Xenopus tropicalis: one gene and its partner. The protein of the gene in region 1 binds, or shares a complex with, the protein of each later gene. Links are inferred from orthologs where the notes say so. Each region holds a gene or a part of one and is shown on either strand. Other genes may lie near its edges.

Region 1 (4,144 bases):
GCTGGGGTGTTTGCTACAGAAACCCTACTATAGTTTATATAAATACCCCGCTGTGTAGCCCTGGGGGCAGCCATTCCTGCACTGGTACAGCTGGGGTGTTTGCTACAGAAACCCTACTATAGTTTATATAAATACCCCGCTGTGTAGCCCCGGGGGCAGCCATTCCTGCACTGGTACAGCTGGGGTGTTTGCTACAGAAACCCTACTATAGTTTATATAAATACCCCGCTGTGTAGCCCCGGGGGCAGCCATTCCTGCACTGGTACAGCTGGGGTGTTTGCTACAGAAACCCTACTATAGTTTATATAAATACCCCGCTGTGTAGCCCGGGGGCAGACATTCAAGCTGGAAAAAAGGAGAAAAGGCACAGGTTACATAGCGAATAACAGATAAGCTCTGTAGAATATAATGGGGCTTTATCTGTTATCTGCTATGAGCCTCTGCCTTTTCTCCTTTAGGGCTCTGGCACACGGGGAGATTAGTCGCCCGCGACAAATCTCCCTGTTCGCGGGCGACTAATCTCCCCGAGTTGCCATCCCACCGGCGAACATGTAAGTCGCCGGTGGCACACGCGGCGGCGCGATTTCGGCAAATGCAGTACATTATATCTTAATTATTTTTATACACTTTCATTTCTTGGTGTTACTGTTCCTTTAAGAGCTATAACTCTCAGCATTCCTTCATGCCGTTTGCTGGATCTATTAACCAGAAACCCATCTCTGGAATGTTTTACAACATGTGCTGTTTCACACAGAGCCCTATGGTTGCAAAAATGTTTCAATAATTTTTCTCTCTGAAATAATAAAGCAGAACAATAAACTTCAAAGAAAATAATCTGCATAAATCCATTTTGGTGGTTTTTTTTAAAAAAAAATGTCTTTTTTAGCAGCCTTAAAAAAAAAACCACCAGAAAGGACCCTTATCCATAAAAGCCAACTTCCCAAGCCTGAAGGCTGTATTAGCAGAACATCCCAAGCGCTAAACTATAAAACATCCCTAAAGCTGTGGGACAGGTGTCTCTGTCCCTGTCATGGAGGTCAGACGGTGTCAGCATCCCCTCCACACTGAAACACTTCCTTTCATTGCGCACAACCTCGCCCATTTTCTGGCAAGTCCCGCCCACTTTCTGGCAAGCCGTAGCCCTGCCTAGCACGGAACTACCCCCGTACTCCTCTCCTGGGCTCAGCCGCACTGACGTCACGCCTCTCGCCAATCCATTGGTCGGGCGGACTCTACCATTTTGACAGGGGTGTACGCAAGCGCGGCTTCCTTGCAGTTTAGTGCTTATTGTGAGGTCAACACCCCCCTGCCGCTTGCAGCTAGTGGTACGGGCTGGGCCTCGTTGCTGTTCGTTGTTCCCGGGAGCGGAAGGAACCAAGTGTCCGGTGCGAGGTGAGGGGGGTGCACAATAATGAGAATGGGTATGTTTGTTATATGCATGCATAACTGGGCCTGTATGGCGAAATGTAAACATTGTAACTGTGCATTTGGTCTTATATCTGCCATTAACACCTATTCGTACCTACTGGGTAGCTGGAGTCCTATGCACTGCAAATGTCTGCTTGCATAATAGACAGTGTGTGTAATGAAGGCATTTTACTTACCCTTTAATGTTTCTTTATAGTGGGATTTAGGTACTGTGGGGCTGCACTAGCCCTTATGTTACAACCCTCTAGTGTAATTTATATTTGATATTGACATCCATCATATAGATATAGGCATTATGGTTGAACGTGATGGACGTATGTCTTTTTTCAACCCAACTTACTATGTTACTATCATTAGGGTGTGCTTATTTACAAGGACATATTTAACTGTAAGCCCCATCAGCATTGTGATATAAGTGAGATATAAGGACCCAGTGGCTTTATTAATGTCCCCCCTATCCTATCCTTTTCACCCTGTGGCTGGTGAGGGCTGCTGGGATATGCAGCAAAGGGTTGGGTGCTGTTTATAGGGCTAGAGCATCAGGCTTTACACCACATATTGCTTAATAAAGTGCTGCATAACGTGTTGGCGCTTTATAAGTAAATGATGATGATGTCTCCAGATCCATAGAAGTGGCAGGTATAGAAGGTCCCACCAATTTGCCTTCCCTCTTTCAGTGCTACGGGGGCTGTGAGTGACCAGTTATGGACTTGATAAGAAGGTAGGCAGCAGGCACATCTTTGCTAAACTATATAATAATGGTGCTTAGTTGTCACCCCTGTGTCATCAGGTAGATAATGACCCAGGCCTGGGTTTATTTAACCTTCTTCTCCTTTACAACAATGGCAAGTTTACAGATTTATGAAAACGTTCATCCTGCGATTGTTCCAAGAATGGCTAGGAACTTATGTTGCTCAACATCATGGTCTTCAAGGAATATCTAAGCCAATCATCATGCATCCCCAGTCTCACCCAAACTGCCCTTTAGGCTGGGCAAGGCAGGGGCTAATGTGATGAGCTGGTATAGTTACTGATGTACTGATATTAGGTTTTAGTTTGAGGATTTGGAAGAAGTCAAAGCATTAAGTATCTTAAAGAGGTGAAATATTAAATATAAGAAGGTTGCTAGGCTAGGGCTGGAGGGGGTCGATATGACAATAACGAGACACGACTAAGGCAAAGTTGATGCACTCTGAATTGTACAAGTATTTGAATTGCATTTATAAATATTTGTCATTTCAGTTCACATCCATAGCCAACAGCATATGCTTACGTACCAATGACTAGCATATGTTTAGCCAGTGATGTTGTAAGCTCAGAGTGCCTTCAGTGAAGGTCGTCCTATCCTCAGAATATACCAAAAAGTCTTTCCTTTTGTTTTTCTCCCAAATACCCTTGAGATAACTGGTTATCTGGACATGCATGCTATGATCTGCTTGTTTAGCGCTAACCCCATGGATATTTGTCCAAATCACATGATTAGTCTCCGCCTGGGTAATGTTGAGGCCTGTATAGACCTATTGGGAATGGACCAAGGTGGTCAGTTTTTTCAGCTAACCCAGTTAATATCTGTCTGTCTGGCCAAATTGCATAATACTCAGTGGCCATTGTTTAAACACTAAGGGCAGTGCAATTTACAGCTGAGATGGAAGGGGGAAGCAATTAGCCCTCCATAGACTTTTGTGGTTATCACCAGTGAAGGGGGGGGTAAATTTTTTTCTTCACTCGTATCTAAGTTATTTATAATTTTCTCAACAGGCTAACAAATTGGAGATCCTGGTAGTGGAAATAACTGAAGATGCCTGCCTCTGCCATTCATCTGACAAAATCAGACGGTGTAGAAACGTAGGAAAAGGGAAGAACTTGGAACATTATTGGTAAGGGAACTGCAAATCCAGGTTGTACGTTTGTACATTTATTTTTTATAGATATGAGCTCTGACATTTTGTGTGTTGTGTTTTTTTGACTCCTCAACAGAGTGTCATTGTCACAGAGTTGGAAGACACACGGTCATGGCCTCCCACTACCTTCCTGACCCAGGAGAGCCCCAGACCAGACCTCCTGCGTCCCCTTCACAACCGCAAGATGGAGACACCGACTCCGGAATAGAAGATGAGCTCAGATTAGAAGAAGCAGACTCTACCATTTTCTTGGCTTTCAAGGGAGATATTGGAGACACTGATTTCCAGCAAAAGCTAGACAAGATTTTGAATACTGTTCCAAGCCTCGTTAGCATGGGTATAGTAATCAACTTATTCAGGGGCATGGGGGGTGGGGGGGGCAAATACATGATCTCCCTGGGTTTCCCTGTGCTAGTCGGTAACATGCAAACAAACTCATTCAAATTGCATGTCCTCCCTGTGTAGAGTCCGACCAGCTGAGAGTTCAGAAGGTGGAGCCATGGAACAGCGTCAGGGTAACGTTCAACATCCCAAGGGAAGCGGCTGAGCGGCTGCGCCTCCTCGCTCAGAGTAACAACCAGCAACTACGGGACCTAGGAATTCTGTCTGTCCAAATTGAAGGTATAACCGTATTGCTTCTGCCCTTGTTTTTTGTCTTTTTATAATTGGTCCTTTGCATATTTCCTTACGCTGAAATATATTTTAGGGGAAGGTGCAATAAACCTCGCCTTGCCCCATCGGGCACAGGACATACGGATGAATGGTCCAGTGGCAGCAAACAGTGCTATGAGACTAGATGGCAATTTTGCAATGCA
Region 2 (3,658 bases), on another chromosome or scaffold:
TGAGCTGACATGTTATTAGTTCAATGACACAGTTATCACCTGAATATTAGTCAAATTTTTTTTTGTATTTGTTAGGGTTACATGGTATTTCAACAACACTTCTGTGCATAATATTAATAAGTACAGATAAAAACATACCACTTAGACTGATTCAGGGCACATTGGTTTATCTATAATATAAAGTTTTGTACTGTTTTCCCCACTGGGGTCTAAGGAAATACAGATTACCTGTGCAGCTAGACCTTAATAGTATTACCTAATTTTAAGCACATAACTGGTTTGCCCTCCATATCTTTAGTATTGTCTGAACAGTGTTAATTACACACGTGTATAAGTATTAGAAATATTTTTCCATAATCTCAAACAAAAAAAAATCTTGCGCACCAACAAATATGCAGTGAGGAAATGATTATATAGAACACACAATTCTCTCATAATAATTTATTGTCTGTAGACTGAAAAGCAAAAGTTAAAGGAACAGTTCAGTGTAAAAATTAAACTGGATAAAATGGATAGACTATGCAAAATAAAAAATATTTGTAATATAGTTAGGCAAAGACGCAATCTATAAAGGCTAGCGTGAGCAGATGTCTAACATAATGGGCAGAACTTTACATCTGCTTAATAATATACCACTGAAGCACTACATTAGAAATATTCTGAAAGCTTATTTCCTTGCAAGGTACAGAAAGCTCAAGATCTCTTACCTGAGTGGAGTTAGTTAGTTGGTTTTTCCACGGCTCCTCTGCGCTGCTGGTCAGGTTTGTGCGGTTATGAGGTAGTGCGAGTGCGTTTCGCTGCGGGTAAGGCACATTTCCATTACTTCCATTTCCCGTAATATGATTATTGCCTATCAACATAGTGTCTGCACTGCCCACTGGCCCTGTGGTACTGCAGGAAACTTGGCCTACTGGAAATGGTCCATTAGCCACAGGCTGCGCAGGGCAAGCCGGACGGATTCCAGGCTGAGCGGCATTAGGCATCCTGGTTAATGCAACCTGATGTTGCTGACCAGTGAGTGAGTTTGTAGGCAGTGTTGAGTCAGCAGTTGGCCCGTTAGCAATTCCAGTAGAACGTACCTGTGAAAGTCCAGTTTGTCTCATCTGTTAGAAAAAAATATAAAAAAATATGATGATGATCATTTAGGCAAATGGAAATAAATTCCTCTAATCAGTAAGTAAACCTAAAAGTCACTACTGAAATAAAGTGCTGTATGAGTGCAACACATTTGTAATCCTTTTAGTGATAACTGTGGTAAATAAATCTAATGGCTTAAATGCCAGTTTCGTATGGTTGAAATACTTAAGAATAATGGAATAAGTTAAGGATTAGATAAGGCAAAGGAAAATACTATTCTGTCAAATCCTAAAAATATATTTTATGCAATTATACATGGCATTGTAATTACAAAAAACTGTATAGACCTCCATTATAGATTTGCAAACTGTGGGGCTGGTCATTTAGGGTGCCAAAATTTTTGCCAAAATCCAGACTAAAATTAGACCTAGATCCTAAAGGCCTGACAGGGTGGAATATCGAGTAAACCCTTTAAATAGATACTGACAGCACTATAGCAGTATGACAAAACCACTTATATTTTCAAATATCTAACTTTGAGAGGAGTCAAGCAGGCACTAACTAAATGCTGGGCCTCAGAGGGACCAAGGTGTTGAATGCAAAAACTTTGGAAAATACAGCTGCAGTAGAAATCTGCAGATCTGCATTATTTGAGTACAGAAGCATCTACCTGCTGTTGCTGCTGCATTAAGACAAACTGAGCCTCCAACTGCTCCAACGCCGCTTTTTGTGCTGGATTCAGATTATTCCTGTTTGCTCGTAGCTGTTCCAATTGCTAAAATCAGATAAGTTAATTTTACATGGTGTAAGACACAAAATCTGCACGTGAAATGCTAATCTTTAAATCAATACTATATTGTAATATGTTTACTATAAGTATTCCATAAAAACTATTTTCAAACATCCTGAGGTCTAAAAGATCAACTGGTGTGAAGATAAGTTTAGATACACAGGGTAGTAAACATTGGTTTTAAGCATTATTTTTTTAGAATTTTAATAAAAAATGTGTTTGTGTTTTCAGGCTTTAAATGTAAACTGCTATTCGGTTGCTATTAGCTGAATTACCCTACCAATAAGACAGAAATATGATAGGGATTTAAATAAATTAATGAAATTGTAATCTCATACACATTACTTTTTGGTTGCTAGAATGCAGCGACCCTGACAGCAAATAGTGATGCACCCATAGATTTTTTTGCTTAAAAATATTTAGTTCTAGCTCTAACCCACCCATTTCTGTGTGCATACATTTTTTGTCCACACAGCCAAGAAATTAGGGGGAACTTCTGACTTATAACATCCTTATATTTTACAATAGAAAATACATTTACTACATATTTTGGCTCGTCTTCACTTCCTCATCTGACTGCAACAAAACACGGACTGGTCATCTGTAAGCCACAGGACCACAGGATTGTCTATAAAAGTTGACCCTTAAGCCGACATTCATGCTCAGATGGTCTTGCAGTTTATATCCCCCAAAAACTTTAACCAAAGCTGGAAATGTACCTCATCTAGCCTAATATAGCTTCAGTATACACTACATGCTTTTAAGTGCACTGTCAATACCCCATGCTCACCCCATGCTTGAGCACTTATTTAGAATGGATTTTAGCACAGTAATGCAAAAAAACAAAAAAAAAACAAAATGCACTTTTGTGCCAACACATATCTACACACCAGCAAAGAAAAAAACCTGTGTACAATTAGCCTTAACCCCTTGTATTGCTTATCAGTGTGTGACCAGTATGTTCAATATATACACCATTTTATTTTACAGCACTGAATAATATGTTGACATTTTATAATTACATTAAAATATGCCCACATTTCCACTTTAAAATTGCAAATATTTACAAGGATCTTACCATGACAATATAGGAGCAGAAAAGTGCTTATTGTAGGGCAAAGGTTAGGGCAAAGGTTACCTGGCATAATATAGAAACTTTGGTTTTGGGAGTGTCACTTTCAACCAATGCCTTCTCTAGTTTCTTGTTATGTAAACCCAAATGTAGGTCAGAAGATGATGCTAATGAAGATTGTTTGATTTTCATCAAAGCCAATAAAATATCTTAACCTCCCCCAAAAAACAAACAGTTGTTTGGATATTGCATTACTTTCAGTGCTTAATTCAAAACTAAAACAACCAAGAGAGAGACAGAAACAGCATAGGACTATTCATACCTGTACTTTGTGTGGCGGCAAACACCACGAATGTACTTGTTGCTGTCCTGGAGTATGTGACGCCAAATGGCCACTGCTCCAGGTATCAGAAGTATTCTATTGAAAAAAGAAATTATTGAGAACTCTTGATAATAGAACACTTTTAAACTGTATTCCAACTGCAATATGTTACAGGCAAAACAATCTATGTTCTTCAAATATTTGGTGCAATACTTAAGCACATTCATATGAAAAATTATTTGAGCGAACTTTCCTTCATTTTACATGTAATTAACTTAAATGAAGTGGATGGTTTAAAAAAAATAAATAAATAACAGCATGGGCCACATACATTTTTGGCATGTGAAATACCTTTGCTGGACTAGATGTTCTTTTCCTCTTGGCAGGACTTGACAGT

Evidence for each region. Proteins that work in one complex are often made in the same cells at the same time.
Region 2: ncoa6 (region 1) and kdm6a share a complex: the UniProt entries of both Homo sapiens proteins name them as parts of the MLL2/3 complex. The link is inferred for Xenopus tropicalis from reciprocal best matches to the Homo sapiens genes NCOA6 and KDM6A.

The regions. Positions count from the first base shown.
Region 1 is NC_030686.2:41,065,818-41,069,961, forward strand, and holds the start of ncoa6 (nuclear receptor coactivator 6), read left to right. Parts: upstream 1-1,228; 5' UTR 1,229-1,421; intron 1,422-3,186; 5' UTR 3,187-3,305; intron 3,306-3,405; 5' UTR 3,406-3,440; coding exon 3,441-3,666; intron 3,667-3,794; coding exon 3,795-3,950; intron 3,951-4,035; coding exon 4,036-4,144. UniProt on the Homo sapiens protein: Nuclear receptor coactivator that directly binds nuclear receptors and stimulates the transcriptional activities in a hormone-dependent fashion. Coactivates expression in an agonist- and AF2-dependent manner.
Region 2 is NC_030678.2:55,786,407-55,790,064, forward strand, and holds part of kdm6a (lysine-specific demethylase 6A), read right to left. Parts: coding exon of another isoform or gene 3,613-3,658; intron 3,358-3,612; coding exon 3,262-3,357; intron 1,853-3,261; coding exon 1,748-1,852; intron 1,104-1,747; coding exon 708-1,103; intron 1-707. UniProt on the Homo sapiens protein: Histone demethylase that specifically demethylates 'Lys-27' of histone H3, thereby playing a central role in histone code. Demethylates trimethylated and dimethylated but not monomethylated H3 'Lys-27'.